Alligator mississippiensis: one gene and its partners. The protein of the gene in region 4 purifies or fractionates together with the protein of the main gene of each other region. This does not show direct contact. Links are inferred from orthologs where the notes say so. Each region holds a gene or a part of one and is shown on either strand. Other genes may lie near its edges.

Region 1 (8,173 bases), about 8.4 Mb from region 4:
TAGAACAAACAGCATAGGTCTTCTTGCCTTTGTTCCAGGAATCAATGAGATTTTTTTCTGACACTTGAAAATATTACTAGTGTAGCAGAAATCACAAGTAAATGGCTGTAAAGGGATTTATGGATGAAATCCAAGCCTTTTGGAAACTGAAATAGCTTAATATAATTCTCTCAAGTCTTTCGCTACTAAGATGTACAAGCCTATGTTTCTTATTATCAGTGTCAGATACAAGTTCTGCATCAGACCTTGGGGAGACAGGGTGCTCTATCAAAACTAGAGATTGTTGGCTTGCAAGTGGACTTTTAAAAGACTAAATTTCTTTGACGCTTTATTTAAAATTCACTGAAATTACTCTTGGGGGATAAAATGTCACTGAGCTTCCTTAAATAACAGTTTTCCATGAATCATTACATTGCTCTTCTTGAAGGATGAGTAGGATAACTCTTACCGTGGGCTACAATGGCCTAAGATAGAGCTACTCACAACTCAAAAGATATAAATTACTGAGGCATCTCACCATTTCAATTGCCATTGCAAGAAAAGTGTGACTTCAGAGCATACTTTAGCATGATGGAGACTTACTGTTTCCTGAGTGTAACCTATAACTATTCTACTGATATAACGTCTCCCCAACCTGAATATTGCTCATCATTTACATATATATATATATAAAACCATAAAACCAGCATAACGGATGGCAGTGTTTTGTGGTCAATGTATAAACCACTTGCAAATATAATTTATTACCAAAGATCTTGGTTTTCTCTGTTTAAAAATAGCAAATTCTCTGATAAAACCCCCAAATTGGCAATTAAAAGATATATATAGCTATCAACTGGACACAATGATTTATTGCTATATATACAAGTTTTTAAAAGGGCTTGCAGCGTCAAGGAGCTTCCCAGCCAGGCCCCACTCTGCCCTGCTGCGCTGGGTCCAGCCAGGGCCATGGAGGCCCTGGGGGGAGGGCAACAGGGCAGGGAGCCCCGAGCTCACAGCAAGCAGCCTGCCCTCACCCCCACCCTGCACACAGATCTACAGGGCACATGTCTGCCTGCCCCCGCTGGGAGTGCACTCAGCATTGGGGAGCCAGCCCCCCCTACCCCTGGATGAGCTCTCTGTGGCCCCATTCTGCTCCCTGCCGGGGCCCTGCAGCCGCACATTCTGGCCCCGGGCCCCAAGCTCCACACGCTGCCTGGCTGGGCAACAGCCCCAGCCCTGCTCAACTCCCTCCCTCAATACCTGCTCCCACCCCGCCAGACTTACCTGCAGGAGCTGTTCCCCAGGCTGCCTCGAGGCAATGTGCATATATCCCCTTCCTGACTGCCCTCCTCCCGCTCTCCCAGACCCTTGCAGGCTGGAACTCCACATTTCTCTGTTAAAATGAGAAATCTGCATTATTCTCAGTTCAAAGGGAAAATCCACATTTGTTTACATTTTCCATGGGAAATAGAAAACCCAGATGCCTGTTTATCATCTGTATATGCATTAAAATAAAAATAAAACAAAATTGCTTGGATACAATGCATTTGGAAAGCAGCACTTCCAGAAATTAGGTTTCAGCCTTAGAGAATGATCTCCTCAGGAGTACCAGGAAGGTGGGACCTTCAGCATGGCAGAGCAAAGGGACAGGACTGGTTGTCTTCAAGTGTAAAAGGGAAGTTGACATAAATATTTTTTACATCAAACCTTCTGGGTCCTCGATGGGCCTCTTTCTGTAGGTGTATGCAAGAGAAGAGAATGGTAGTGTAAGAGTGATGTTGTAGCCCTGATACTGCAGAAATGAACACAGAATTGCCATTTGTTGGGTCAAATCATAGATCCATTTTGCCCAGTCTCCTGTGTCACATAGTTGCAGAGAGCGAATGCTGAAAGGGAGAGGGAACTGGGTATGACCAGGATTTTTCTTTTCCACTATTTCCATCTCACTTGCAGCCTCCTGCATTTAAGGCCTAGGAAGTTCTAATTCAGAGGCTGTGTCCGAGGGTGATCTCACCCATCCCTAATTGGGTGGGACAGTCCTGAAATGTAAACATCAAGTCCTGCCCCAAGCTGAATGACTCTGTCTCTGGGACAGCATTTGTCCTGGATTCCCCTCGACACAGTCAAACCATCGGCCCAGTATCATGTGCAGGGATCCAGGTTTTCTGTTCGCTGCTGAAAAACACGGATTTTCTTCTTAAACAGACAAAACCGTAGGAAACTGCTAAATTCCCTTTTCAGGCTGGCAGAGTTCCAACATGGAAGGAGCTGCTTGGGGCTAATGGAAGCAGGAGGCAGGGCATGGGCGACTGGTGTCTCCTGAGTCAGGGAAGGCACCAGTGAATGTGGGGGGCCCGGGGGGGGGGGGGGACGCCACGGCCAATTGCACCAACCTGGGGGGGGGTGGGGTGGGGAAGGTAGCTGGCATTTCCACGTTGGCACGATCAGCCGCAGGGGAAGGTCAGCGCGATCGGTCACATGGGGACCACAGGGATTGCTTCTCCTGGCACCCCCACTTCACAGACCTCTTGCTTGCCCCCCTACCAGTTGCTTAAGCAGGGAATGCTGGCTGTCAGGGAGTGCACCAGTGCTCTCAGGGGGTGCATGTGCACCCCAGGCACCTCCTACGCATTGCCACAGATGCAGGGGCATCACATGCCCAGCAATACAGCCAGGCAGCGTGGAGCAGCTCCCCCAGATGGCTATAGGTAAGTCTATGGAGGGGAAGGGAACATAGGGAACCTGGGAGGGGACAGATTGACACCCACATGGTGAGGGAGGGAGTGGGGCAGGGTTGGCAGCTAGGGCTGGGAGGCAGTGTAAGGGGCACAGGACTGAGGCAGGAATGTGATTATAAGATGACTGATGCTGAGGCAGTGTAAGGGGCCCAGGGCTGAGTCAGGTCTTGGCCACGGAGTGGGATGGAGCCATGGGCAGCTCGTCCAGGGGGCAGCAAGAGGGCATGTGTCCTGCTTTTGGATTTGGAAAAGATGAGTCACCCTACTGTGCCCCTAACTCCCATGCTCAACAGCTACCCATGCCCCTTTCTTCCAAGAACCTGGCCTATCCCTTTTCAAACCTGGCTAACGGGAAAGGGATCTTGGAGTCCTAGTGGACTCCAAGATGAACATGAGTCAGCAGTGTGACGAAACCATCAGAAAAGCCAATGGCACTTTATCATGCATCAGCAGATGCATGACGAATAGATCCAAAGAGGTGATACTTCCCCTCTATCGGGCGCTGGTCAGACCGCAGTTGGAATACCGCGTGCAATTCTGGGCACCGCACTTCAAGAGGGATGAGGATAACCTGGAGAGGGTCCAGAGAAGGGCCACTCGTATGGTTAAGGGCTTGCAGGCCAAGCCCTATGAGGAGAGACTGGGGCACCTGGACCTCTTCAGCCTCCGCAAGAGAAGGTTGAGAGGCGACCTTGTGGCTGCCTATAAGTTCATCACGGGGGCACAGAAGGGAATGGGTGAGTATTTATTCACCAAGGCGCCCCCGGGGGTTACAAGAAACAATGGCCACAAGCTAGCTGATTTAGACTGGACATTAGGAAGAACTTCTTCACAGTTCGAGTGGCCAAGGTCTGGAACGGGCTCCCAAGGGAGGTGGTGCTCTCCCCTACCCTGGGGGTCTTCAGGAGGAGGTTAGATGAGCATCTAGCTGGGGTCATCTAGACCCAGCACTCTTTCCTGCCTATGCAGGGGGTCGGACTCGATGATCTATTGAGGTCCCTTCCGACCCTAACATCTATGAATCTAAACCGACAGCTTTCCGCAACAAATCCAGTAACTGAACAAGACACCGTGGGACAAAGAGCTTCCTTGTGTTACTTCTCAACTTCCTGCCTACAAGTTTAGTGTGGTGACCCCCAGTTCTTGCCTTGTGAGTGTCCATAATCAATCCCTATTGCCTCTCTTCGCCATTTAGCATTTTGTAAACCCCTTATCGTGCCCTCCCCCTTCCACGAGGTGAGGCTTTCTTAGGCTCCCTCTACACCTTACATGCCCTGCCCGACTGCCTGGTTAATCGTGCAATTCATCTGTGTCAGCTGCACCGAGAAATTCACTATCCTGCCTCAAAACCAACTCTCAAGTGACGGCTAGCAAACGTGCAGTAACTTTGTAGCTGCTTTGTGTCCAGCTCTCCCGCGCGCGCGCACGTGTGTGTGTGTGTGTGTGGGGGGGGGGGTAGTTTTTATTGGACCCACTGCACATGGGTGGGAGTCAGACAAGGATGCAAGATGCTGCCTCAGCTGTACAGACGTCACCCTCAGGGAAGACAACAGCACGACGTGCGTTACGTTTAGAGCACCTACGTCACGGGCTGGCAGCCTACACTTTACGGGCGGCCCATGAAGCGATGAGAGCCGCGACCCCCAGGAGCTCAGAGCTGCGGATCCCCCGCCCCGCCATCAGGCTCACGCTCTTCCCCCCATGCTCCACAGCCCTGGGGAGCTTCGTAGCGTCAGCATAACACCACTACATCCCTTCCTCTCCGGAAGGACAAACCCGAGGTGAACGATCGCGCTCCAGCTCCTTTAAGAGTGCTCCGCCTCTTCGCCACTTCCGGCCTCGTGCCCGGCCCACCAGCCAATGGGAGAGGCCCGGGGGCGAAGGCGGGAGAATGCGAACCCCTCGCCGTGCCACTTAGCCGCGCCTTATAAGGGCAGGCCCCCGCGCATGCGCAAAGCTTCACCGACCGGGGCGGGGGCTCGGAGGGGGTTTGCTTCGGCAGCGGCGGTGGCGGAGGCCGCGCGGGCCGGGGCCGGAGCCGGAGCCGGCCGGGGCGCGCGGCCATGATGCTGGGTGGGCCACAGCTGGCAGCGGGCCCAGCGGCGGGCGGCGGCGACCGGAGCCGGCTGCTGGCGCTCTACGTGCAGGACTACCTGGAATGCGTGGAGTCGCTGCCGCTCGACATCCAACGCAACGTGTCCCTGCTGCGCGAGATGGACACGCAGTGCCGAGGTGAGCCTGGCGCGGCCCGGCCCGCGGGACACCCCTCCCCCACGCGAGACCCCAGGAAGGGGGGGTGGAAACGGAGCCGCCGCGCATGCGCCCACGGTCGGGGGCGGGGCGGCCCCCACGCCACGCGCACGTTAGGGGCAGCGCGTGGGGGGGCGGTGCCAGACCCCCCCCCCCCCCCCGTGCCAGTGCCCACCCCCCTTTGCCGGCCCCCCCTCCCCCCCGCTGTTGCCTCAGTCCCGAGGCGCCTGCCTGAAGCCCGTTGCTGAGGTGCTGCCCTAATCCCCCCCCCCGCCTGTCTCTCCTGAAACATCTCTGCGTCGGGGCAGCTGCCCAGGTTCACCCCTGTGCCCAGCCGGGCAGGGATGCGATGGCCCCCTCAGCCGTCTGTCCCTGCTAGGTGAGCCAGCTGGCCCGGGGTCAGGAGCTTCAGATTAACCAAAGGCAGCGCTTTTCCCATAGCAGCTGGCTTGGGCGTGGGCCCTGGAGCTCTGGAGCTGATGTCCCACCAGGCCAGAGTAGGGCTGAGGCGAATCCTAGGAGGAAAGGGGTGTGGGTGTCTGTGGAGCCCGCAGGTGAGGGGCTTGGCCTCAGCATTGGAGCTTCTTCGCTCGACCTTGAAGGTTGCAAGTAGGAGAGGAGCAAGGGGGAAACCCCAGTCGGACCCAGCTTGCTCTCCCTTTCAGCCTCCCCTCTCTGCCGCTGTATGACACGGGGCCAGACAGACTCGTGGTCTGACCCAGCCAACGGCAGCTCCTGTGCGTGTATGTGCTGCAAGTCGGTAGCAGAGGGGAATGGGATCGGAGGAAAGTCAGGTTGGGAGGGACCTTGGAAGGGCTAGTCCAGTCCCTTGCTCCAGGCAGGAACATCCCTGGCCCAACCATCCTAATACCTGTGGCCCATTTCTCATCTTGCTTTTAAGTTCACTCCTAAATCTGAATGGAGAAGGAACAAAACCTTTTCAGTGGTTCTCCTCTCCCTAAAGGATGTTGGTAGTGATTTCTCCTTATACCCCTCTTCCCCCGAGCTTCCTAGGGTGTGCGGTCTCCCTGCAACCTGGCTGATGTGCTGCTGAATGGCCAGATGCATCCAGGCCGGGCTCTCCGAATGAAAAACTCATGTGAACACTTTTCCCTTTCCAAAAGCTGTTCCTTTGCTTTGTATGAAGTAGGAATAATGTCAGTGTCAGCACACCTGAAGATGCAGGTGGGATTCATCATTACCATGACAGCTGTAATTGTGCTGCACTGTGTATTTGATGAGGTATTGACTTAACATAGTACTTGTTCAGATGTCCAGAAGGCTGTATGTAATCAGCTGAATAACTGCTGTTATGTTCAGGCCATTTTTACTACAAAATATGAGCGCCCTCTAAACTCACCTGGGCTGGATTTGACCCACAGGGCTCCTTGCAGGCACATGGCATGCAGTGGTGGAAGCAGCTCTGGCTCCTGTCAATATACCCCAACTGGAGCCACTGCTGTGTGCACTGGGTGGTACTGGCAGCTCTGGTTCCGTACAGGGTATATAGCAGCAACTCCAGCGTAGCATGGGAGTGGGGTGGCAGTAGTGGTGATGGGCAAAGCAGCCGGAGGGGGACCAGGGCTGTATCAGCTCTTGCTGGCTCGCTCTCCTGCTGCCAACTGCCCAGTGGTCACTGTGGTCCAAGGGCCCAGATTCTCTGGCAGGCCACTGCCCTGGCCACTCCCTCAACTTCCAGTGGCCTGTCAGTCCAGATGGAGCAGTTCCCCAGGCCTTCCATGTGACATCCCTGCTTTAAATGATTGATTTGCTATAACAAGTTGGATTCCCTCTTTACTTAAACCAGAGTAACCATTGTGTTTGTGCTAAAGCAGTCTGTAGTACAACACTGCACTTAAATTTTTTCACTTGTTCTGGATTGCAAATTAGACCTGGATTTAAAAAACAATCTTTTAAGCTATTTAGCTCTAAAGCCCATCCTTTCTAGTTAAGTCTAGAAGTGACAGCTGTTACTTCTTTCTCTCTTCCATCTTTCAGCCAATAATAGTGATACACCAATGTATCAATCCAACATCGGATCAGTACAGATATAAAAAAAAAAAATCTATATTGGATATATGCCTTAAGTGGCTGATAATTGGGCTAATAAATGCCCATGCTGCATGCAGCCTGTATGCAGTGAAGAGACAGCCCACAGTGTGGAGAGCTACTTCCAGCTGATAAATCTGGGGGTGGGATAGGGAGAGGGAGGCTGGAGCAGGGGCAAGTGTTGCCCTGTCTGGGCAGGTGGGCAGAGGATGAAGCCTCAGCTTGTCTAGGGGGCGTGGGATGGAGCAGGGCTTGTCTGTGGGGTGCAGGGCAGGCGGAGGTGACTCCTGCTGCTGCATGCAGCTCATCCTCTGGCTCCCACTGCTGCTGCTGTCACTTGTCACGGTGGGGGGGAGGGGGCCAGGTGTCCCCGGATGTGCATGGGGCGGAGCGGGCTGGGGCTGTGCCCATCAAAGCCTGGGCTGGGTGGGGTAGGTGGCAGTGCCGCTGGGAGTGGGGAGCTGTGAGAGGGCTATGGTGAATTTTGGGGTGGTTGCAGCTTCCTCTAGCCCCCTCCCAGTGGCGTTGCCCCCCACCCCGTGTGGCCCAGGCTCTGCTGGCAACAGGACCCAGATCTGCATGAGGCGAACTGGGGCTGGGGCAATTCCCAGTGGAGCCTGGGCTGGGTGGGGCAGGGGGTGGTGCTGCTGGAAGGGGGCTACAGGGGGAGCTGCAGCCACCCCAAAATTTGCCGTTTCCCTCATAGCCCCCTGTTCCCAGCAGCATCACTACCCACCCCTCCCAGGCAGCTCAGGCCCCATGGGGAACAGCCCTGGCCCCAGCCTGCCTTGTCCAGTGCAGATCCGGGGGCACACGCTCTTTGTCTTCCACCTCCCACCCCCATGCCCTCCTGGATGAGTGACAGCAGCAGTGGCAGGAGCCACCTTACCCTCCCCCTGCACCCCATGGATGAGTTCTGCTCCATCCCACACCCACACAGATGAGCTGCAGCTTAGTCTCATTGCCAGCCTGCCCTCCCTGACTGGGCAGTGCATGCCCCTGCCTCCCTCCCTCCTTCATGGCAGGGCCTTGATTTGCCCCCACCCCCTTTCTCCTACCACACCAGACTTACCTGCTGCAGGTAGTGTATTGGATATCGGATTGGTATCAGCCGATATGCCTCCTTAAATATCAGCAATTGGTATCGGCCTCAA
Region 2 (7,466 bases), on a different chromosome or scaffold from region 4:
GGTAACTGCTAATGCAAGAAGCAAGCTGCTCTATTATGAACCCTTGACAATAGAACACCAAGCTAAGCTTAGGAATTCTGGTAACAGACTTTATTTCATTAAATGCATTTGCAGCATTCTCCAATGCTTAATGCAGGATGGGAAGAATAGATCTGTGTTAATTCACAGAGTTGCAAGGCAGGAAGTCAAAGTTTATTTTGCCACAAGTGTATCTTGTCTTCCATGTATATTGATGGGGGCTTACTTTAAAGTCGCAGCCTATGCAAGATAGGGACACATTCACATCCTAAAAATAGGGAACTGAGACACGAAGATTGAGACACCCCCAAGGCTAAGAGGGCATAAGTCTGTTGTATTGTTCTTGATGTCTGTAGATCAGGGGTGGGCAAAATGTGGCTTGCAGGCCAGGTGTGGCCCGCCAGGCCATTCTACCTGGTCCACAGAGCTTCTAAAAAATTTAGAAAATTTATATTTATCTGCCCCGGCTGCCTGTCATGCAGCCCTCAATGCCTTGCCAAAACTCAATAAGTGACCCTCTGCCTGAAATAACTGCCCGCCCCTGCTGTAGATCAACACACACTGGAGTAAAAAATATACAGAAAACATAAGCCAGACTATTGATTTGTACCAGGAGCAACCATTTGGGTTTATCATAGAACTAAAGGGGTAGTGAAGGTTTTATATGAGAAGAGTAAGTTTCTGAATTGAATCAGGAGATCCTTTAATCACTCCAAATTGATTTGGAGAGATTCGGACATAGACACAGCTTTAAATCTTTTTTCTACATACTTCAAGGTACCAGGAGGCTCATGAAGGCTGAGATGGTGAGGCGGATGGAGCGTCCCACAGGAGCCGGGGGGGGGGGGGGGGGCGGGGGGGGGGGGGGGGGGCGCACGCTGTGTGCTTGGCGGTAGACCTGGAAGTGGACCAGAAGTGCTTCTAGTCCACTTCTGGGTCCGCCGCCAAGCACACAGGGGGCCCATTCATGTCCAGAGCAGAGATGAATGACTCCAGTGAAGTCACATCTATCCAGGAGGACAGTAGCAAACACTTAAGTTGTTTGAACACTGATGCAACAGCTAAGTAGTTTGTGCTTGTAGACAGAGGGAACCTTTAATAAGTCCAATATAACTAAACAGCCCTGTTATGTTAGGAACTATCCAGACAGAAATAACCTGCCCCTGGCTTTTTTAGCAAGTTAAAAAACTTAAAGAAAGATGCCATTAAACTTTGTTTTGGTGGGGGAGGAATACTTACTGTTCTTTCATTTCTACATAATCCTCTTCATCGTGTTTTGCCAGGTCAGTTTCACTAGCATCCTCAGTATCTGAATCAAATGTAGAATAATTTGATATCACTAAAAACACAGCATCAAATCATTTTAAAGAAACAGGTCATTTTTGTCTAGTTGCATTTATTTCTAATTAAGCTAGGGCAGCCTAAACGGTGAATTCTGACACAATCATCTTCAGACCATCACAAGCTGCTATCCGTGTTTTCCACACATAGCTGTCCTGTTTGCTAAAACAAGCATTTATAATAAAGCTTAATAGTATAGAAAATTAAATCAGCTGACACAAAACATCTTGTCCCTTTGTTTCTTGAATAAATCTAGCTAATTATAGTAAATTAGAAAATCCTCATGCCATCCATGAAAGCTAGGCATAGCATAAGGGATGTGTTGTAGACTTTCTTACATTTTTATCCCTGCCATATTCTCTTTGCTAGAGCAAACCCCAGCTCCTTTACAAGTCTCAAAACCCCTCCACACTTTCCCTGAAACCCAGAACAAAAAAAGAATAGAACTAAATTCTGTTACGTTTTACAACAGAGACAAGACTTCCAGGAAGGGTGCTAAGTAATGCTACTGGGATTTATTCAGCTTAGTATTTACAAGCATACACCTCACAGAAGTCCTTCAGAATCTACATGTAACAGAGGCGAGTACTAATGCTTAGTGCCATCTCACACAATCTCTCTGACATTGTAACCTGTCACTGTACTACTTTACTATGTTCCCTCACTTCACTCCTCTGTTCCTCCCCTTACCCCAGGGGTGGGAAAACTGCGGTCCATGGGGCAGATGTGGCCAGCCAGGCCATTCTATCCAGCCCGCAGGGCCCCTAAAAAAATTTAGAAAATGAATATTTATCTGGCCCTGGCTACCTATCATGAGGCCCTCAATGGCTTGCCAAAACTCAGTAAGTGGCCCTCTGCCCAAAATAATTGCCCGTCCCTGCCTTACACTCTTCTCACTACCTATGGACTTTCCTCCGTTACTACCACCCCTCTCTCCACTGAAAACCAGCCCAAACTCCACCCCCCTCATCCCTCCTGTTTCTCCTGTGACTGTTTTACACCAATTTCCCCCCCACCCTCTTGTGGAAATAACATAATGATTCTCAACCTGGCTGTTGCAGGGATGCTGTGAAGTCCTTTCACGGCTGCCATGAGTTATGTGCAACATTACCACCCAGGTGCGCAAACCCCTGCCCACCATTCATAAAATAAACCCAGAGATGTGAAACAGAAATCCACAGCATCAAACCCATTTGGCCTGGCTGCTGTCCCAGTTCTTTGCAATGGGGGAACTACTGGGTTATTTTACTGGAGCCAAAAAGCAGGGTTCCTCAAGTCTGATAGGGGGCAGGAGAGTTTGAGTCTAGAGCAGCAGTTTTCAACCTTTTTTGTACCAGGACCCATTTGTAAACATCGATGGCCAGTCCCGACCCAGTGCCCCTCACCCCCAACCTGCTGCCCTTGCCCCCAGAGTGAAGGGCAGCAGTGTGTGTGTGAGACATGGGGGGACGGCAAAGGAAATGCTGCGGTTCCCCACATTTTTTTCCTTTAAAGAAAAATCCATTTGTAGAGTTTGTTCTCAACCCTCCCCTATATTCTTGCGCCCTGCTTTTGGGTCAAAACCTGTGGGCTGAGAAACCCTGATCTTGAGGTTAAGACCCAAAGCAGTGACCCTCCCGGCTCCTCCTGCCCCACCAGGTCCCAAGTGGGGATGAAGTGTGTCAGCTCACAAAAGCTTGTGCTTTTAGACATGCGCATGCAAGGCTGTAGGAACACACGCGTGTGTACGTGACACACACACGTGTATGGGCATTACACGTACATCCATTACACTACACACACCCGCCCCCGCCTAGCGAGGAAGGTGCGAGTCTCCCCCAGCCCCCCCCAGGCTCCCGGGCGCGGGCCCCGCCCACCCTCGTCGGAGTCCCGGGCGCGGGCGCTGCGCTCGCCGTCCTCCTCGTCGGCGCTCTCCAGCTCCTCCTCCTCGTAGTACTCGGGGCCGGGCGGCAGGGCAGCGGGGAGCGTCCCGGGCGGCACGGGGGCCGGCGGCGCGGCAGACACCAGCCCGGCCGCGCTCATCGCGACGGGAGGCGGCCGCAAGCCGCTTCACCCGCTCCCTCCTCCCGCCGCCTCAGCCGGGCGAGGCCCTCCGCGAGCCACTTCCGGGACGCGCGGGCTGCCTCCGCTCTGCCTGACCCGGAAACTCGCGCAGGCGAATGCGCGGGACACCTCAAACCAGCCGGGCCGCGTGGGGGCCAGCACGGAGTCATCAGGACCCCCCGGGGGCCGGAGCCTGGTGCTAGTGGTAGCGCCTGCGCAGTGCTGTAGCTACTTGGGTTGTTCCAAGTGGAGTCTAGGGCTGCTCTCGCGGCCCTCTCCTAGAACGAAGTGGGCTGTGCTGAACCCCCACCCGGGTGGGACGTGGACTTGCCTGATAGCGGAGGCAGGCCCCGCCCCCCGTCGGGGTCCGGGTTCGCGGTGGCTGCCCGCTGCTGCGTTCGCCCGGGCGGGCAGTGCCCTCGGGCCGCGGAGCCACTGACCTCATAAGGTCCCTAGAAGCCAGGCAGGTGCCGGCTGCACCCGCGCGGCTCGCCCCGGGCCGGTCCCGTCCCCTTCGTGCGGAGCGCCCCGCTGGTTGCCGGCAGAGGGTGCTTAGGAGCTGCTCGCGGTCCCCTCTTTGCCTCCTGCAGGCCCGGCGGCTCCTGCAGAGCTGCCCGGCTCCGGCTCATCCCCAGCGCGCCTTGTCGCGGGCTTCCAGGGCATCCCGCCTGGCCCGGCCCGGCCCAGCCCAGCGCCGGGTGTTTTCCGCCCGGGGTCTCCATTCCAGGAGGGTGCTGGGCTCTGCAGCGCCGCGTTACCCTGACCTGACCCGGGGCCCCAGGGGACCAGGATTCACATGTGTGCAGGTGCGCGACAGCCATGTCACGTCCCAGCCAGCCCTCACGATGATCTGTTCGTCATCAGGTGCCCGGGGGCAGGATGTTGAAGTGTTGAGGACTGAAGCGCAACGGCACCTCTGCTCTTCTTATTCCTTTCGAAGGACTCGCTTTTTCCTTTTCCCGTGTCCCCAACAAGCTGTCGCTGATAGCTGTGGTATCACATCCCCCAACTGAGGTAACTGCTTCACACCCATGGATAACAGCTTCTGTGCCAGGAGTGGGTTTATTCCCTCCAAAGCAATAAGCGCCTTTCAGAGATGAGATCCTTTTCAATCTTGTAATGTTCAAATGCTCTCACCAGGCTGTGTCCCTGGAGCCATACAGATAAACTCTTTGTCTTGCACGTTGCTAATTACAGGCTTGGAGAGGCTATTCAAGGCCTTCAACCTGAGCACAAGAATGCTAAAATCTGGATTTATGGTGAAGTGTCTGTGGGCACATCTACACGTTTATTAATGCACTGTAATTACATTAAGTTTAGTACCTGTTATGACACGTACTAAATGCATCATAATTGTTGCTACTGTGCATTAGTGCAGATGAACGTTTTTCTGATGCTACTGTGCATTAGACTAAATCTACTGTGCATTAACATAGGCTTTGCTTGCCGTGCTAATGCACAGTAGCTTCAGTCTTCTGAACATGAAACACCTCACGTAGACACACCCTGTGTTAGCTCTTTTATGGGAAGACAAGCCATCTAAGGTGTACTGATCAACTGGTTGATATTGGTTTATAACTAGCGGAGTTGTGACTAAGCATTTACCTTAACATTTGCAGGGTATGTTCCCCAGAATCATGAGATGTTGACTCACTGAGGCATATGTCCTATGTACTGTAACCCTGTCATCAGGAAAAAGGAAATAATATTTAAAAAGTGCTATCAAAGAATGATCACCAAAGCAATGCAGTGTGAAACTAATAAAACTAGGCCTTGACAAGCTGTGAGAGGTGCTAGTGTACTCATTGTTATTAAAAGGGTGAAAATGTTTAAGTGCTTAGCTCTTCTATTTTGCATTTTGGCCAAAGATCTGTTATGGAGATTAACGTTTTTAGCCTTGCAACATCCTTGTTAAGTATTTATTACATCTTTTTTTACATATGTAAACATTACTCACCTTTTACAGATGATGGGATTGAAGCTGAAATCCAACAGTTTTCAAGAGAGGTCACTAAAGTTGAGAGGTGAACTAGTCACAGGTGAGGCTGAATCCAGGACTGTCTCCAGTGGCATGTTTGCCTTAAGCCCCTCTTGAAGCAGAATAACTTTTCCAAATTATGCTGTTTTTATGTTACTTTCAAAGGCCAGGTATATTTACTGATATGACATCACATGTGATAGGAACTGAAAGGGGATGGTGATAATCAGTGAGAGACTAGGTATAATTGTTGATTCAGAAATGTTTAAATTATTCTGTGGTCAACACTAGAATCCCATGTGCTGCATTGCTCTCATCTCAGCACACTTCACTCCCCATGTTCAGTGCTAAACTTATGCGGAAACCTCATGCTGTCATCTTTCAGGCATTCAGTTGAAACCCAAGAGGAGGCTTATCTTTAAGGAATGTGCCGTTTCCCCCTCAATAGTGACTACTTGACTGTTCACATCTCAGCATTCAGAGAGAATTTGTGCCCCTTATTCATAGAGTCAAAGTCTCCACCAAAGGTCCTTTTGTTGTATCTGCATATCCATTCCTTTGAGGAAAGCTGCTTTGCCTGTATCAGCTATTACCATTCATGGAGTAGCTGTGATACCAAACTTGGGCTCACAGCATGTAAAAGAATCAATATGTTGATATTGAAAAAAAAAACCTGTCAATAAAACTTTAGGTTAGTTTGGAAAGTGAAGTCTGTTCATGGGAATGAGATGGTTGTGACCAGAACATTTGTAACATAGCATACTGTGAAAAATTATGGTCAGGGGCTAACACCAGAGGTGGTTTTGAGCTGTGAGCGACCGAGGACATTTTTTGCAGGGGGGGAAGACAAGAAAAGAACAATGAGCACTGCAGCCCTCGCCCCGCTGGTGAGGATTGCGGAAGACTCCTTGTATTGTAAGAATCCCCCATCCTCTTATTGCCCTTGCTATTCCAATAGCTAATTTCTTGTTGTATCGTCTACTTGGAAAGCTCTTCCTGTCCCTTTGAGCCTTTTCTTCCTTAAAACACCACTCTGTAAGCAAATTCTCCCCTTTATATTGTTAGCAATCCCTTTCCCCTTGTCCGGTTTTGTTGCTTCTCCTGGTTAAGTCTTATCCATACTGAAACGCACAGGTTAATCCAGTTGAAAATAGACCTAGCTATGCATGTGCAAGAGTGACTCGTTTAAAGAGTAAATGCTTCTTTCATCTAGACTGGACAAGCCTCAAATTCACTTTTTGGGTTGAATGGGCAAGAAACCCGTAAGTCCCCCCACCCTTTCCCCAGCACGTTGAACCCAAGGCCGGGCGAGAGGCGCCTGCTCCGATCCAGGCCCCCATGGATCGTTGCCCCCCATTCAAACTCCCGCCTTTTCCCACAAGGGGTTAACCCCCCGGCCGCCCGCGCCTTTCAGGGCTTCCAATCGAGCACCGATCGTCCCGAGCGCTCTCTGGGACCGAGCTGTGTGGAGGAGCTAATCGATCGCCATGGCCCAGAGAGCACAGACTTCTAAATCAACCACCGATGCAAAGATCCCCTTCCCCCAACATCGGCCCCGCTGATGCGGGCAGTGACGGCGGCCCAGTCGGCTCCACCCTCCCCGCGCAGGCAAACGCAGACCGCCCCCCCCCGGTCGCGGGGGGGAGCAGGCTGGCGAGTCGAGGGCCGAGCCCCGATTAGCTCGGCTCGCCCGAGCTCCCAGACGCGGGAGTCGAGCGCCGATGCAGCCGAACGATCGGCCGCGCCTGGCAGCAGCCGCAGGCGCACGTCGGGCAGCGGCGGGTCCGAGGCAGGAAGCGGGGGGCGGTGAGCGCGGACCGGACCGGACCGGCCCGACCCGCCCGCCCGCTGCGGCCTCTCGGGCCCGGGCCAGGTGAGAGCGCGGCGCGGGCAGCTGGGACTGACCCGACCCGACCCGACCCGACCCGACCCGGCGAGCAACAGGCGGGTCCCGCGGGCTGCAGCGTGTCGGGGCAGCGGGGTGCGGCGGGGCCGGGCCGGGCCGGGCCGGCACGACACGAGTGGCGCGGGCGGCAGCCGCGGTTGGGAGCACAGGGTGGGGAGCCGCGAGCAGGGCAGCAGGGAG
Region 3 (8,146 bases), on a different chromosome or scaffold from region 4:
TTGGAAATCCACTTTTATCATTCTTATTTGGCTTTCTTTTTGTCCGTATCATTATGACAACATATTCAGCTCTTATTTTGTCTCTCTCAGCTGCCCTTATTGTGAAGTTATAGGAAAAATCCACTCTCAGCTCTGTAGAAGAGAAGTTATCCATGCAGAACCAGCAAAGGAAAGGCCTCACCACTCATCTTTTCTCTTGCAGGTGCAGAGTGTGACACACTGGACACCTCTGCTCAAGTGAGAAGTCTGGAGGTGGCTGAGCAGAAAAAACTCCTTTTCACTGGGCTGGTATCTGGAACAGTTCTGGTTTTTCCACTGAATTCCAGGAAAGATGTGGTGTGCATCCCACCCCCGGAGTCACAAAAACCAGTCAACCACATAGCACTCAACAGGCAGGAAACACAACTGGTCGTAGCATATGATAACTTAGTCCTTGTGCTGGATGTCAACCCTGGAGAGCCATGCCCAGTGATTGACAAGCCCACTTATACCTTTTATACGCAGCTCCCTGCTGTTATTTCCAGCGTGGCTGTCCTTACAGGCTGTCGGGTCCTCTATGGCATGTCCAGTGGGGACTTATTCCTTTATGACTGTCCATGTTCCCAAGTATTTCCTTTGGAAGCCCACCGAAGCAAAATCACTTGTTTAGAAAATAGTCACGGAGAACAGTGGGCACTGAGTGGCTCTGAGGATTCTCTGCTGTGTCTATGGGACTTGGAGCTCTGCCAATGGAAACACGAGATCTGCTACTACAAGGTACTGCACCAGCAGAGCTTGGGAACACAACATTATTAGTCATTTATTCCAATGAGCCAGTACAGACATAACTAGTCCAATTTTCAAATAGCGGGCTTTCCAAACACTGTAGCAGCTAGGTGCCTCCTTTTGGCATCTTAGGCCTGAACTGCACACTTGTATCCAGGTTTAGCTACCTCGTTAAAGAGTATGCTTTCTAGAGAGCCCACCGATGACCTAGTGCTGTTAAATTTTTTCTAGCCCCAAAACTCACATCTTCAGAGATGCTTGGTCAGAACTTATCCACCACATTCACTTAATTGTTTGCTTGCATCCTGTTCTTGGTTATGCACATTGTTTAGCTGAGGTCAAGTAAAAGCAGCATAAAGGACTAACAGGCTCAGCCCTGTGGAGTCCCATAAAAGGGGAAGTGATGGAAGAGCTTGAGCTATTTTTCAGCTTTTCACCTGTGCCTGACAGGCCTCAGCCTTTACCCGATAGGCTGCACAGTTTGCACTCACTCCTTTTGGTAGCCTTCTGAGCTTTTACAGGACACTTTTTTTGAAGCGCTTTAGAAGCTTAAAAGCAAAATGCCAAGCTTGTTGCACTTTCAGTCTCGCTTAGAACCACTCTGGAAACATTGGTTAAGTTAAAATGTATGCCCGTTCTCAACTACCTAACAGTCAAACCATCTAGGTCGTCTTAATCTTCATGTGCATTTACCAGTACATTAGGGTCTAATTCAAACCCATTATCCATTTTTAGCATTCATCCTTCTTGAAAGGTATTGAATGTGCTTGCTTCTCAAAAGATGATAAATACCTGTATACTGGATTACTGGATCAATCCATTGCAGTTTGGGATGTTTCAAATGGTAAGTAAATCTGTATCGCCAGCTAAGACAAGAGGGTACACCTTACTACATCATTTTCCAACCTTTTGAGCTAAGCCCCCAATTCTGTTTGTACTGACCGGCCCCCTCGCCCCAGAGGAGCAGCGCAGCCAGGCACAAGGCATCCCTCATCCTAGCAGCTGCTGTGGCTCTGCTCGGCTCAGCTCTAGCACCTCCTGCTTTGGCCCTGCTGTGGCTCTAGGCTGCACGCCCACTGCACTGGGCTCCCAGAGGTGCAGCAACCCCCTGGCAGAGCCTGCCCACCCCCACACCCCCCCATGCAGCTGCAGTGGCTCCTTGCAAGCTTCTTTCCCATGCCCCACTGTGCTGCACCCCCACCTCCATGCCCCCCAGGGGGGTACGCCTCACAATTTGACAACTTCTGCTTTATTGTATATATTAAACAGGTATGTAAGCTCCTTTCTGCAGTACAAAGGAAAACAAAATTTACACTCAGTTTAAATGAGAAACTAACTTGGTTACATGTTAGCACAAGGAATTTGGGATCTCTCTCCTGGCCAAAAAATAGATTTTTGAGAGAGAGAGAAAGTCTCTGTAAGTTGCAGCTACATATAGATGGGCACTGACCCCTACCTCTGCCTCCCTTGAATCCATGAGAACATCCCACAAGTGCCTGCCAGTACACCCTGACCTTCTGTGACACTGCAAAGAGAAGTACCATCCCCAGTGTCAAAAAGGCCTCATTACACTGACTAGCCCAGGGGCAGGCAGTTATTTCTGTCAGGGGGACACTTACTGAGTTTTGGCAAGCCATCAAGGGCCCCATGTCAGGCAGTCTGGGGCAGATAAATATTCATTTTCTACATTTTTTAGGGGCCCCACAGGTGGGATAGAATGGCCTGGCAGGCCACATTTTGCCCACCCCTGAACTAGCCAGTGACATCAGTGTCTAGTTTTTGCCATAGATGTAGTACTTTCTACAGCAGGGAAGCTGCTTGAGGGCTTGTCAGGGTCGATGTGTAAGGTACCTTAAAATTCTGTATTTAGACTCATCCTAAAAGCTTAGGCCCACATAAGAGCAAGAACATCATATGTGGCATAAGGGAAAAAAATGTACGCTTCCATTTTCCTTGCCTTTCCTCTGTTAGATACTGTTGTGTGCTCACTCTTATTTCAGGGTTACATAACAATTGTGAACTTTATGCTTTAGCTTGTTATAAGGCTTGTACTTGTCATCCTCTCACAAAGGATGGGCAGCTAGTTTAAACAAAGATGTTTAACTCCAGCTGTGTATTCTGCAGTTTGGATTAGTAGACTTCCTTTTGTTAAGCTGACGTGACAGGGGGCTTGCCTTCTGATCTGTCAAACAGGTATCCAGAACACTACTGGAACCGTAAGTAATGCACTTTCTTCACTGCAGGTTACCGTGCAGTAGCAAGTGCTTTCAGGGCAGCGTGCCCATGACCCTCTAAGACAAGTTAATCTCTGCAAGTTTTATGGCAAAATCCTTTATAGGCTTCTATTATCCACCCCGATCCTTGTTACAGTCTAAAGGAGCTGATGACAAACTTCCCACCCTTCCTTCACATTAACACCAGTAATTACGGGGCCATTTATGGAAAACGGCAGGGCCTCCTGTCCTTCAAGTGTAACGTCTTATGCTGCAAATCATTTCCTTTTCATCTCCTGCAGGTGCTCTGCTGGCTGTGCAGTGTGTGCATGCAACTGCAAGAAGAATCGTGCCAACTGCTGATGGGTTTGTTGCAACAACAAATCTTGGCTATATAATTCGTGAGAAGTTCCACTGCCCACAGTCCAGCAGCCACCAGCACGACCCGCTCCAGCACGTGGAGGCAACATGCACAGTCAAATCCAGGAAGGGAGAAGAGGCAAATTCAGGAGTGCAGCATCACAATCAAGGAAATACCTCCAGACACCAGAGTCAAAACCGCAAGCCTTCACAGATCTGTGCAATTGTGTAAGAGGAGCGAAGCAGCAGATCAGGACCACGCAGCCTCGGGACCCAAGATCAAGCGTTCAGGCCGAGCCTCTTAAGTCAGAAGCCGAGAGCTGGGGTCAAATTCGGGAGTTACTAGATCTCTTCTCTGCTCAAATCTACGCTACGCAACAAAGAAAACCTAGTTAACTATAGTATTTCCCAGTGTATTTGATCAGTTAGCATTCAGGATTTCTTAGTGCCGCTGCACTGCAACAGTCAAGTAACGCACAGGGAACGTGGGCGCTGCGCTCGTGACGCTGCCTGCGCTGCGTTAGGTTTTAACGGGTCAACGTGCTGTTAATGCGAGTGCCTCATTTACCAGAAGCAGAGTCAACCGTCCGACTGCTGAACCGTTAACACGCGCCATGAGTACACACGAACCCCTGCTGTTGTGAGCTGCCACCACCCCCCGCCCGGCCTGCGCTAGGAGCTGCGCACGCCTGGTCTGTGTGTACAAGGGCTGCAGAGCCCGCAGTTCGCACGCCCATCGCGGCAGGAGCAAGCTACCGGCCCACGAGCCCTCGCTGCCTGCGCACAGAGAGAGAGCAGCCGCAGATTTCTGAGACTGTGATTACAAGGGTCGTGTGTCCGGCGGGCTGCCGCAGGGAAGGTCTTTGCACTAATCGGTTGTTTGTTGGGATATTATTAGTTCCTCCTAAAAGTAAAGGAACAAGTTTTATGGCGATGTAGTTCGGAGGCGGTGCCCCCTCCCCCACACAACTTTCAGGATAGCTTTACTAATAAACTTCATACGAGAGTCTCGACTCCAGCGGGCTGCTTGCGCTGTGCCCGGGCGGCGGCGGCGGCGATATCTGCCGCGCGGCTACGACCGACCGGCCGCTCGACAGGCGCGTGCGGGAGCTCGGCACCGCGGCCGGCCGCCCACGCAAGAGGCGCTCCGCACTTCGCCGGGAAGCCCGTGCCTGCTGCGGGCAGCCCCGTGGGCCCCGCGAGCCCTCCCGCGCCCGGCGCACCACGGCCAGCCGGGCTCGCCCCGCGGTCCGGCCCGGCCACGCCGGAGGCACGGATGCGGCTTCTGCTTTGTTGTGAATAAAACGTGTCAGGTGTTCGCCGGCGGCCTGGGCGACGCGGGGGCTGCCCGAGCCGAGCCGGTCCCGCCCCACCGGGCAGAGCGCGGCCCTGCACCCCTTACCTCAGATTTCGCGGCGCCTCGGGCGGAAACGGCCCGGCCTGGAGCTGGAAGAGCCGCCGCCGCCGCCCCCTGACGCGCGCTAGTGCCGCCCCGCGCGATAGCGGCGCCGGAAGCCGGCAGCGCGGCCGGAAGTGGGCGGGGCCGGGGCGGGGCGTGCGCGGTGACGCAGGCGCCGAGGACGCGCTGACGGGGCCGCCGCCCGGTGCCCGAGTTCCCAACATGGCGGCGGGGGGCGGCGGCGGCGGCGGCGGCGGCCGGGGGGGCAGCGCCCCGCGCTGGGGCGGCGGCCGCGCCGGGGCCCAGGAGAAGCTGCCGGTTCACGTGAGTGCCCGCGCCCGGCCCGCCCCGGCCCGCCCCGCCCCGCGCCGGCCCACCCGCCCCGCCCCGCCTCACCCCGCCCCGCCCGTCTCCCCGCAGGTGGAGGACGCGCTCTCCTACCTGGACCAGGTGAAGATCCGCTTCGGCAGCGACCCGGCCACCTACAACGGCTTCCTCGAGATCATGAAGGAGTTCAAGAGCCAGAGGTACCGGCCCCGGCCCCGGCCCCGGCCCCGAGCCGGCGCAGGCCCGAGCCCGAGCCCGAGCCCGGAGGCGGCGCGTCCCGGCACCCGCGCTGCGCTGCGCTGCGCTGCTGGGCTGGGACCCGCTTGGCCCCGTGCCGTCCTAGCGCGGCGGCGCGTGGCCCGGGCAGCTCCAGGCAGGGCTGGCTCCGAGGCGGGCGTGTTGTCCGGTCTGAGGGCAGCCCCTTTCCCTGCACCGCCGCCGCTGGGCTGGGCTGGGCTGGGCGCTGGCGTCCGGGGTCCTGACCCGCTCCCGGGAGCTTGTTCTGCTCCCGAGCCGTCTCCCCTGGTCCTCCCCGCAGCGGGGTCGGGCTGCGGCTCCCTCTGCCCCGCGGCTGCCCGACAGCTGGCGCTGACTGCGACCAGCTTGATTCGCCCCTGGCCTCGCCTGTCCTGCCCCGTCCCGCCTCGCTGCGCTCTGGCAGGGGCCGCGGGAGGAGCAGGTCGAGGGGCCTTCGCTCCCGCTGCTCCCTCCGGGGGACGGACCTTCCAGCGGGGCGTGCGGTCGCGGCCTGGTACCGTTCGGCCCTGGGACCCGCAGACCTGCACAGATGCCTGTTTCAGGGGAAAGGCAGGGCTCTTGCTGACGCCTGCACACCTGGCTCTAGCGTACCAAAATGCTGACGTTGCGCGGTCGCTGCGTAAGCCTGCGGGGAGGAGGTATCTTCGCTACGTACCCGGAGCTCAGCGAGCAGTACTTCCCCCTGCTGCGTTTGACATCTTGTAGAGGGAGCCATGAGAAATGTAGGCGCTTCACAGATACCTGCAGGGAGTGAGCACTGTCTCAGTGCTTAAGTCTTTCAAATCCCTGTGCTGTTAAACAAAGTTATTTTTGCAATCTGATGCATCTGTACCTGCGTATGAATTCCTTTGTGGTTGCATTTTGTGACAAAGACCCTGCATGCAGTTAACGGTTTCGTCTTGGTTCTAGCATTGACACCCCTGGCGTAATCAGGCGCGTTTCCCAGCTGTTTCACGAACATCCCGACCTCATTGTAGGATTCAACGCTTTCCTCCCTTTGGGCTACAGAATAGAGATTCCAAAGAACGGGAAGTTGAGTATACAGTCGCCGCTGGCTAGTCAGGTATGTTAACATGCTTGGATTACTTTACGTGAACACAAATGTATGTGCGCATATAGATAAAGTAGCACGCAGGGTCTGCATAGTAAATGAGCTGGTTTGCCTTTATTGCAGTTAGTTAAAGGTTTTCAAATTTTGAGGGTATGGGGTTATAAAAAACAGTTTTGAGGTTACAAAAAAGTTTTTCTTTTCCAGAAATGCTTCTTAGTTTGATTGGAATAAAGCTCCCACACATGCTGCAGCCCAGACATTTGAGTCAGATTTGAGATGGTGGCTGGGTGCACATGTATACATGCTCCATTCAGTCTTTGTAATCACACTTTACGTTTTAAAGGAATATTTCAAAAGATCTTATTTCCTCCTTCCCATTATGGCACAAGACGTTTACTGGCGTGATACAAATAGCCGCGTTTTATTCAGATGCTCATATACTGCACTGAAGGATGTGGTATTAAAACACAAATAGATGCATGCCATTCTCTGCTTCCTTCATCACTGTGCGGTTGTTGAGTTTGTAACTGAAAAGTCTCAGCTAAAATTCTGTTCAGAAGCTTCTTGTATAAACCTTAATTTCCACCATCTACTACTCTTTCAGATCTCTTACGTGCATTGATTGTTTTGTATTACTTAGAAATTTAGCATTTTGACTACTGAGCATGCATCTTGATAATCTGTCATTCTTCTGGAACAAAGTAGTTTTACTCTAACTATACTGCAGGGTGAATTCAAACCATCTCTAAAGTGAAGAGGATAGGGTAATGTAGTGCCAATCACAAGCATTAGTGAATCAGGTTTCTCACGGACCTTTGGTCATTGGATTTTGATTACTCTGTATTCCTTTGTCAAGATCATGGCCAGTGGGTCCAGGTACAGCATTTGAAAATCCCTTGAAAATGAGGCTGCTCTGGTGGAAGAATTGTTGATGAAAACTGGACCTGAGAAGGTATCCACCCTTTGATAAAAGGACACAGAGCAGAGAATATGAATCTGGTGATGAAGTATGGCATTATTGTGCATCAAATGCCTTGATGTTGAGTGACTAACAGGAGACCTGGCTTCATAACTGGATACTGAAATGAAGTCACCATGTGTTGTGGTAATACAAGGTCTTGTTGACACTTGAAACTCGCTGCTGGGTAAAATACTTTCAGAGATGATCTACAAGGCCTACAGGCCCCCTGCTGTGAACCCCTGATTCAGAGAGAGCTCTCATATTTAGTGTATTCTTCCCTGGGAGTTAGTGAGATTCCTCGCTTTCATTCCCCCAGTTCTCAAAAGGTCCAGTATCACAAAGACTCTTCTGCTAGAATCCCTCAACCTTCCTCCTTGCATTAGCTACTGATGGACACTTGCTCCAGAACCAGTTCATACAGTCGTGGTTGGCCTGGGACAAAAGAACTGTGTTGCTCGTGTACCTGGAGGCACTTAAGAAAGGCCGTGGCAGCACTGGCTTGAGAGGAGTTGCTTTTCACACTCAGTTACTAATTGCATAAGCCGTTTTCAAGCATTGCCATATTCAAGAGATGTAGGGCAGAGAGCATGGTCAGATTCAATGCATTCGGATTCCACTAAGCTTGAGGGCTGTGAGCTATAACTTTGTCCTCTGAATCTCATCTGTAAGCTACAAGCATAAAGTTCAGCTGTCACTGGCATAATTCAAAAAGGCTGTTTTCCTAAGGAATCTGAACAACTGCACGTAGGATTTCCTCCATGCTGGCCCCATGGTGCAGCTGCACGTCTACAAACCCTTTGACGCTACTTCTC
Region 4 (7,643 bases):
GGCTGTGGGGCTGGGGACAGAAAAACCAGGTCAGCAAGAAACTAAATGAACGCTTTCTTTTTGTTGTCAAAAAAATCCAGTCCACTTGTTATCTTTATGTTAGAGAAAAAGCTTTTAGAACAGGATCTAATCCAATTATAATTCAGTAGTTGACTGAATTTTGTAAGCTTACATCTGTCAGTTACAGAGGCTGTTATGTTAATCTGTACGGATATTCTCTACAAAGGTAAGGATGTATTACTTGTCCTATGGTTCACCTTTTCCAGAGATTCACATATTATAGCAAGTTGCATTGCCTGCTACAGAACAGATGTTCATACTTACTTCAACAAGCTGTGCTTTGTTGAGTCCTGGTCTAGTCTGTAACTTGAAGTGTCTTTTGTACCTTCGAAGCGTGTTTACTTGCAACTGATATAAGTCAACCTAGGAAAAAAGAAACAATGGCATTAAATCATCATTAAATATGGCAACTGAAATGAAGGCAGAAGACATGCAGTATGTACTGTCCTTCTGTTCCAAGCAGCCTTTAGTATTCCGCCCAAAATAACATTCTGAACTGCCCTCTGAAACAGACTTGGAGGTGAAATTAGTAGATCACTGGCACAGAACTTTTTCTTCCTGGAAACGGTAGAGATTGCATTGGGCACTCATTTCTTTTCCATCAGTGAAGTCATGAGTCTCTCTGGTGCAGTGCCCAGATTGGGGGTGGGGGGTGGCAAGGAGAGAGGAATAAAAACACCTTTGGGTTTTCTGGCACCGTCTAAACTGACAACTGTAGCTTTTAGAATGTGGGTCTGAACTAAGCCTCCTTTGCAGGAGCGGATGCGTTAAGCAGTACATTTGTCACTATTATTTTTTTTGTCCTTCACAAGAGTCGGCAGCAGATATCAGCTGTGGCAAGAACTGCTGATCCCATAAAACTTGAAAAAGAGAACTGGCTTGTTCAGGAACTGTGGTCCGCACGGTGCCAAAATTGCAGCCCTGGGATTCAAGAGGGTAACTGCAAAGATAATTGTGGGGAAGACTACAAAAAACAGTCTCTAGGAACTGAGATAAGACCTTACAGGACTCAGAATATTCCAGGACCTCAGACATCTTCACCAGAGGCTTAAAAAAAAAAAGTGTTTTCCTTCCTGTCAACCCAGAATTCTTTAGCAGAGTGCTGGCAGTGAAAAGGCCTTATGGACAAATGCATTACCGGGGAACTTGAAGGAACAAGTTCTGCAGCCAAATCTTAAAAATGCTATTTGAGATCTTTGATACCTCGAACAGGCAACCTACCCTCCAGCTTAGTGCACTTATCCAGGGCATATAAAAAAAAAAAAAAAGGGTATTTCATACCATCTGAAATGGGAAACAAAAAGGTGCATATACGTTTTAAACACCACTTTTGTATATGGGATGTGCCAGATCAAAGCAACCACTTCCCCAAAAACTGGAATGTAATAGTGGCACTACAGTACATACTTTTACATTTAAGATTTAACTCTACTATGCTTTTATGTATGACACATATCTATTCTAAGTGTTTTTTTAACAGAATGGAGCAACTTCTGACTGTTCTGTAGCCATCCTGGCAGGACGGGGGAAAAGCCAAGGGACAGTTAAAAGGTGATAAAACATTTTATACACCGAAAGTATAAATGCTGGGCTCATGGTTCAGTAACTGCCTGACTCCTGCTGAAAAATGGTTCTGCTACTATGTGGCTAAGCACGTAACTCCAATACTAGGGATCTGGGGAGAAAGGTAAAATATTTCAGAATCAAAACTGATTTACGATTTAGGTTAGGCTTTATTTCCAGGAGAAGTATGATGAATAAAATGGAGAAAACAAATATTCCTTATGTAAGCATCTTAGAATATATCATTCTAACATACACAATGAATACAGAAGCATAGCCATAAGAAATGTTATATTTTTGTGACTAAAGCATGACAATTAAGAATCAGTTTTACATGGCAACCACATAAATAACTAGGCAGGTACCTCTGGAGTGTCAATGTCTTGCACTGGCGAGTCACCATCATCATCACTGCCTTTTCTCTTTCTTCTGTTTCTCACGCTCTGAATTAAGTTTTTGTGAAAGTCACAAATATAAAGATGCCTTGCCTAAAATAAAATGAGAAAAAGCCATGTTTTCCACGATTATTTTGCCAGGGTTTGGACACGTGCGGTCACACACAGCAGCGGCAGAGCCATCGCCATGTCTCGTGGCCTGAACTCGGGGCGGAGGAGATCTGCTGGTCCCGGCCAGACCCCCCCCCCCCCCTCCTTTCCCCCTCCGCGCTGCAGCAACGAGCCGACTCCAGGGAGCAGCCGAGCCCAGCCCCCTCCCGCCATCAGCAGGAAAATGACTTCTCCGTCGTCATCTTTTTAAAAGCCGCCGATGTCTCCCCCTGGTCCTCGCCGCCCTCCCCGAGCCCCTGCCGGCGAAGCAGGCACTCTCCGCCGGGCCCGGGGGGTTTAACAAGCCGCGCTCAGGCCCGCAGCGGCGCGGATCGGCTGCAGTTTCACTTTCAGCGACTCCGGGACCGCAGCCTCCCCCCTCCTCCCCCCCGGGCTCTTCCAACGCGAAGTTTCCGCAGCTGAAACCTCCCGGCACCCCCCGCAGCAGCAGCAGTCACAGCAACAGCCCCCTTTGTGCCGCTCGGGAGGGGGCTCCCCGCGCTCCCCACCGCGGGGCTTTGTCTGGGGCCGGCGCGGCTCTACCCCATGGCGGCCGGGCGGCCCCCGCGGGGACAGGGCAAGCAGCTCCCCTGCGGCAGGCGGGCGCGCCAAGGGCAAGGACGCGGCGCCCGGGCCGGGGGCAGTGGCGGTGCCTGCGCCGCAGCCCCCCCGCCGCCGCCTCCCCCCCCGACCCCGGGCCCGCGGGCACTCACGCTCTTGTCCAGCTCGATCTTCACCTTCTTCTGCGAGATGCTCTTCTGGATGCGCTTGCTGAAGCTGGCGTTGCCGGCGGCCCGGCCGCAGCGCTCGCCCTCCTCGCGCAGGCAGCACAGCTGCCCGGCTCCGGGCCCCGCCGCGCCCGCCGGGCCCGCAGCGGCGGCGGCGGCAGCAGCAGCGGCAACCGCGGCGGCGTTAGCGCCCGCGACGGCCCCGGCCCCGGCTGCGGCCCCGAGAGGCGGCGGCGGCGGCGGCACTGGAGGCGGTGGCGGCGGCACCTCCACAGCGGAGCCCGCGCTGGCCCCGGCGGCGGCGGCGGCGGCGGCAGCAGCAGCAGCAGCGGCGGCGGCGGCTGCGGGGTCCCCCCCGCGCGGAGCCGCGTCCTCAGGCGCGAAGCCGTTCATGACCGCGCCGCCAGCGGCTGCGTCCTGCCCCTCAGTTCAGCCCCGCGGCGTCGCGCACGCCCCGCGCCCCTCTGTCATGTGCGGACTTTTCAGCTGTTTCCTCTGTAACAACAGCAACCCACCCGCCCTAGCGCGCATGCGCAACCCGCCGCCTACCGGGACCTGTAGTTGGCGCCGCGGCGCCCGCTCCGCCCGCGGGGAGGCCTGGGAAACTACCGCTCCCGGCGTGCCCCACGCGCGCTCCGCCGCCATTTTGCGGAGCGCGGCAAGGAACAAGACGGGGAGGGGTGGGGTTATTTTGGAGGTTGCGCTTGCCTCCCCACCCCCACCCCCTGCTCGCTGCAGAAGGGAGAGGGGACGCGGGCTTCTGGTCCCGTTCGCAACGCGCATGTGCGGGGAGTTCTGTGTTGCGGTGTTTGTCGTACAAAGGCTCGGAGCAGCCGTTAGGATTTGAAATGTGGCCGTTCGGAGGCCGCGGACCTGCGGCAGTTCCCCCCAGAGAGCGCCCGGGCCCTTCCCTTCCCTTCCCTCCCTCCTCCCGCTGCAGCGCTGCCCCAGCGGCCTCACCTGGGCCGGTAGGCCGGGCCTGGGGAAAAGGCGGGAGTGCTGGGCTAGTCTGACTGAGCACTGGCGAGCTGCTGTCTGCCCGAGAAGCTGGCAGCCTGGCGCTCCGTGACGGCCTTTCGCCCTGGGTCTTTTTTCAGCGTTTCCCCTGGCAGAGGACAGCGTCAGTTGGAGTAACTGGGCTCGCTCCCACCGCCCCGCTGCGGGGAGCTCCTGCCCCAGACAGTTCCCCCCGCCATACTTCCACACACACACACACACGATGAGTAAATCTGACCGACCATTTTTTTTCATGTGCTTGCTGTGAGGGAAAAGGCTAAGTGGGCTGAGTTCTAGCCTGTAGTTCATACTGGGAATATCTGGGGGGGAGGGGGTCATTGTGAGAAGGCTTTGTTATAAAGAAATCTTGTAAATAACCTCATAAGCAACCCACCTATATGTCCTTTTCACCCCAGTGGGGAGATAGCAGTCTAGACCTGGCAGCAGGGCCCAGAGACTGCTCCCTGATTGGTTCCTCGTGACTTTATTTTTCATTGTACTGGCTGAGTGGTGTGCCCAGGTAACCAGTTCTGTAACTTCTATTGAAGTGTGGCTGACTGGGCCTCAGGAGAAAGCGTGAGGCTCTGATAAAGCTCGATGGAGAAAGTCCCAGGGAAGACAGATTAGTGAGAAAAAGAAGAGTCTCAGGGAGGATGGAACAGAGTCAAAGGAAGAACAGGGGGAACTGGTGTGGCACAATAGAGACTGGCTGTTTCAGAGCAGAGATTGCTGTGCTGTTGGGACACATCATTCTGCTACCCCTCCTCTTTAAAAGAGCACTCCCACTTCCACCCCCCCCCCCCTTCATGGGAGCTGATGAAAAGGAAGGAGCTGTTGGAGGTGTGGGTGCTATTGATCACTGAGGAAGCGGGAGACTGAGAAGATCCAGGGTCTCCAAGTCAGAGGCTCTCCCCTGCTAGGGGCTGGCTTCTAGGGGTCCTCTCAAGACAGGGAGACCAAATAAGGCTGCTTCTTGGAGAGTTGCAAGGCAGAGCTCCCCCCTCCAACAAAAGGGCATTGATCTTATGACACCTGCAAAGCACATTTGCACTGGCGTTGGAGTGTTTTGTTTGTCAAATAACTTATTTGACAAACAAAATACTCCAACCTCCCTGCCCCTTTTGGTCAGCTATTCCTTTCAAGTTAAGACAGCGGGAAAGGCCATAGGCCAAAGAAAATGGTTTAATTTAATTGAAAACATTTCAATGTATGAATTATGGCCTATTCGAAGTTATAGAATCAAAATAGGGAGTGTGACAAAACCCAATAATTTAAGGAGATACGGGCTCAGTGCATTGCGCACTCAGGGGTTACAACGGTTTCAATTTCTACTTCTTAACCTGATTTTATAACCCAGTCTTACAGAGTATGGGTACAATCCCACATCAAACTTGCATCTGTGTTGTGATTCAGAGGGTCAGATTCAAACAAAAACTGAGGCATGTAAATCCAAAAGTGCAATCCACCTGCTTAACTGTTGTTTGAGACTGTGATGGTCCACAGTCTCAAGCTTTTGCTTGGTAGGCAGGTGCCTACGGTTTTGTTACTTCACATGCCCAGAGATGTACCAATACAAAGGATGTACAGAGGCTGAGCCAATATCACCAACGCCTATCACACATTTCAATCCACTTGAGACTCAAGGGTTCATTTCAAGAGGCCTACTCTGAGTACACTTACCCATAAATCACACCAAAAGCATTAAGTTCAGCACAAAGCAGAAGACACTTTCATGGTCCCAGAGGAACAGACTTGCACCTTCAGCTTCCTCTGTGCAAAAATGAAGTTTATTTTCTACCTATGGGGACTTTTTATCATCTTTTATTTTTCCTGAGCCTGAGGAAGGGCGTGTGTGCCAGAAAGCTTGCAGAAAAAGAGATTTTTTTAATGATTTCTTAGTTGGTCTAATAAAAGGTATCACCTCTGAACCAAGAGTTCTAGAGTTTTGCATTTCTAAGTCACAATCGCTTTCATTCAAAACCATAGCTGATGGTGGCGCCGCCTATCTTTTGCATAGACAAATGATTAGAACACAGCAATCAATCACTACTACACATTGCTATTAGATAGCATAGGAGCAAGAGATAGCCTTACCTTTAGCCAACTTAGAATGGATGCAGCAGCAAAAGTTAACCCAGGCTGTCTTTACACTGATAGTTTTAGCTCTGATTTGTTCAGTAGTTCAGGGATTCCCCCAGTTTAGCGGCTGCTGCTTTTTATAGGCAGGTAACCCTTTACCCTGGTTAAACATTTCATCTGTCTGTGCCGAGTCACATTCCTTCTTTCTTACTCTCTTGGGCCCTATGAATCCTGCATTCTTGGCTTCCAAGATAGTGTATTCAACACTGGATGACAGAGTCATGTGCTATCTTTTCATGGCCGTATGATGTTGCATTCCTTTTTATGCAACAGTCCTGCTTTAGCAGCAGGGGCAGAAGATTAGAGCACTCTCCTGGAGGTGAGAAAGATACCAGTAGATTTGAAACTCCTCAGGCTGTAAAGCAGTATAACTAGGTCTACCACTTCCTGGGTGCATGCTTAAACCACTAGGTATAATACAAAGGGTGGATTGTCATCATTGCCAGCTGTGTAAGAGTGATGAAAAAGTAAGCCAGTTACCTGCATCCAAAGGAAGAAATCAGTTGATAAGTGCATGAAGGCACTTTGCAGGAGAAGATTGATTCCAGAGATGTCCCCCTGTTCCACATTTCCTAATGGCTACCTTAGGTGTCCTCCCTGCTTGGCATACCAGCTGTTGTGAGTTGCAGTTATCTAAACTCTTCTCATCCCTTGTATAGGAACACAGGTATCCTAAAAGATATGTAAATTCTACACTTGGATCTGACTGCCTAAATGGCATGGCCATACCAAAATGATGCTGTGCCCAGTTCCCTTAGTAAGTGAATTTATATTAGGCATAAAGATATAGATGCCAGTTGCACAGAAGGGATATAACTAGGGACCTACTTAATCTGTGGTTTTGTGGAGTTTGCAGAAACAATGAAATCTGGGATAATCTACAAAATCAACATTAAAAAAATCTTAATAAAAATAAAATGCTGGCTCCCTCTGGGAGCCATTGGTTCCTGCTGCCTGAAGGGGAAAGTGCCAGCTGGTATGGTGGCAGGATAGGATGGTGGCTGCCCTCTTGTTCCTCCTCCCCACCCCGGGGCCTCTCTGCCAATCAGCACCAAGGGGCGGGGCCACCACACAATGCCCACAAAATCAGCTCTGTATGCTGCAAACAGGTTGTGAAAAACCCTTCCTCTCACTGCAACTTAAGTAGGTCCCTAGATATAACCCCAGGGCTCCAGAATCTACACTGGTTCCCAAGAGCTTTCTGGGTACAACTCATGGTACTAGTTTGATGGATAAAGCTCTAATCATTCTGGGCCCGATGTACCTTATGACTGTCTTATGCCCTATCACCAGGGATCCTGGTTTTCTCTGATTTAAAAAAAATCCCCAATTTTCAGATTAAAAAAAGTATTCCCAAATTCACATTTTCTCGTGATTAAAATGAAACACCACACACACACACATATATATACACATGTATATATAAGTGACTTTTTAAATCCGAAAATTAGGGATTTTTTTTAAAATCAGAGAAAAGCAGGATCCCTACCCATCACAATCCAAAAGGTCAGCTAAGATTAACCTTCTGTAAGCCTCTGACAAAGACATTGAATTACAGGCTCATATACTTACCTATATAAAGAAACAATCAGTATAAAAAAAATAACGTTTG

What was found.
Region 1: the proteins of SAP30 (region 4) and ING2 purify together in Homo sapiens (affinity purification with mass spectrometry; 3 studies listed by BioGRID and IntAct, counting the BioPlex papers as one, with this or other methods). This does not show direct contact. The link is inferred for Alligator mississippiensis from reciprocal best matches to the Homo sapiens genes SAP30 and ING2.
Region 2: the proteins of SAP30 (region 4) and SUDS3 purify together in Homo sapiens (affinity purification with mass spectrometry; 4 studies listed by BioGRID and IntAct, with this or other methods). This does not show direct contact. The link is inferred for Alligator mississippiensis from reciprocal best matches to the Homo sapiens genes SAP30 and SUDS3.
Region 3: the proteins of SAP30 (region 4) and SIN3B purify together in Homo sapiens (affinity purification with mass spectrometry; 4 studies listed by BioGRID and IntAct, with this or other methods). This does not show direct contact. The link is inferred for Alligator mississippiensis from reciprocal best matches to the Homo sapiens genes SAP30 and SIN3B.

The regions. Positions count from the first base shown.
Region 1 is NC_081825.1:71,860,620-71,868,792, reverse strand, and holds the start of ING2 (inhibitor of growth protein 2), read left to right. Parts: upstream 1-4,878; coding exon 4,879-4,944; coding exon of another isoform or gene 4,945-4,946; intron 4,947-4,947; coding exon of another isoform or gene 4,948-4,952; intron 4,953-5,674; coding exon 5,675-5,681; intron 5,682-8,173. UniProt on the Homo sapiens protein: Seems to be involved in p53/TP53 activation and p53/TP53-dependent apoptotic pathways, probably by enhancing acetylation of p53/TP53. Component of a mSin3A-like corepressor complex, which is probably involved in deacetylation of nucleosomal histones.
Region 2 is NC_081833.1:22,485,542-22,493,007, forward strand, and holds the start of SUDS3 (sin3 histone deacetylase corepressor complex component SDS3), read right to left. Parts: upstream 3,471-7,466; 5' UTR 3,382-3,470; coding exon 3,216-3,381; intron 1,328-3,215; coding exon 1,258-1,327; intron 1-1,257.
Region 3 is NC_081839.1:448,517-456,662, forward strand, and holds the start of SIN3B (paired amphipathic helix protein Sin3b), read left to right. Parts: upstream 1-4,944; 5' UTR 4,945-4,959; coding exon 4,960-5,061; intron 5,062-5,157; coding exon 5,158-5,264; intron 5,265-6,231; coding exon 6,232-6,385; intron 6,386-7,229; exon of another isoform or gene 7,230-7,304; coding exon of another isoform or gene 7,305-7,325; intron 7,326-8,146. Other genes in the region: NWD1 (NACHT domain- and WD repeat-containing protein 1), read left to right, coding at 203-756, 1,501-1,609, 3,281-3,570.
Region 4 is NC_081825.1:80,263,693-80,271,335, forward strand, and holds the start of SAP30 (histone deacetylase complex subunit SAP30), read right to left. Parts: upstream 3,377-7,643; 5' UTR 3,290-3,376; coding exon 2,882-3,289; intron 2,112-2,881; coding exon 1,989-2,111; intron 424-1,988; coding exon 325-423; intron 1-324. UniProt on the Homo sapiens protein: Involved in the functional recruitment of the Sin3-histone deacetylase complex (HDAC) to a specific subset of N-CoR corepressor complexes. Capable of transcription repression by N-CoR.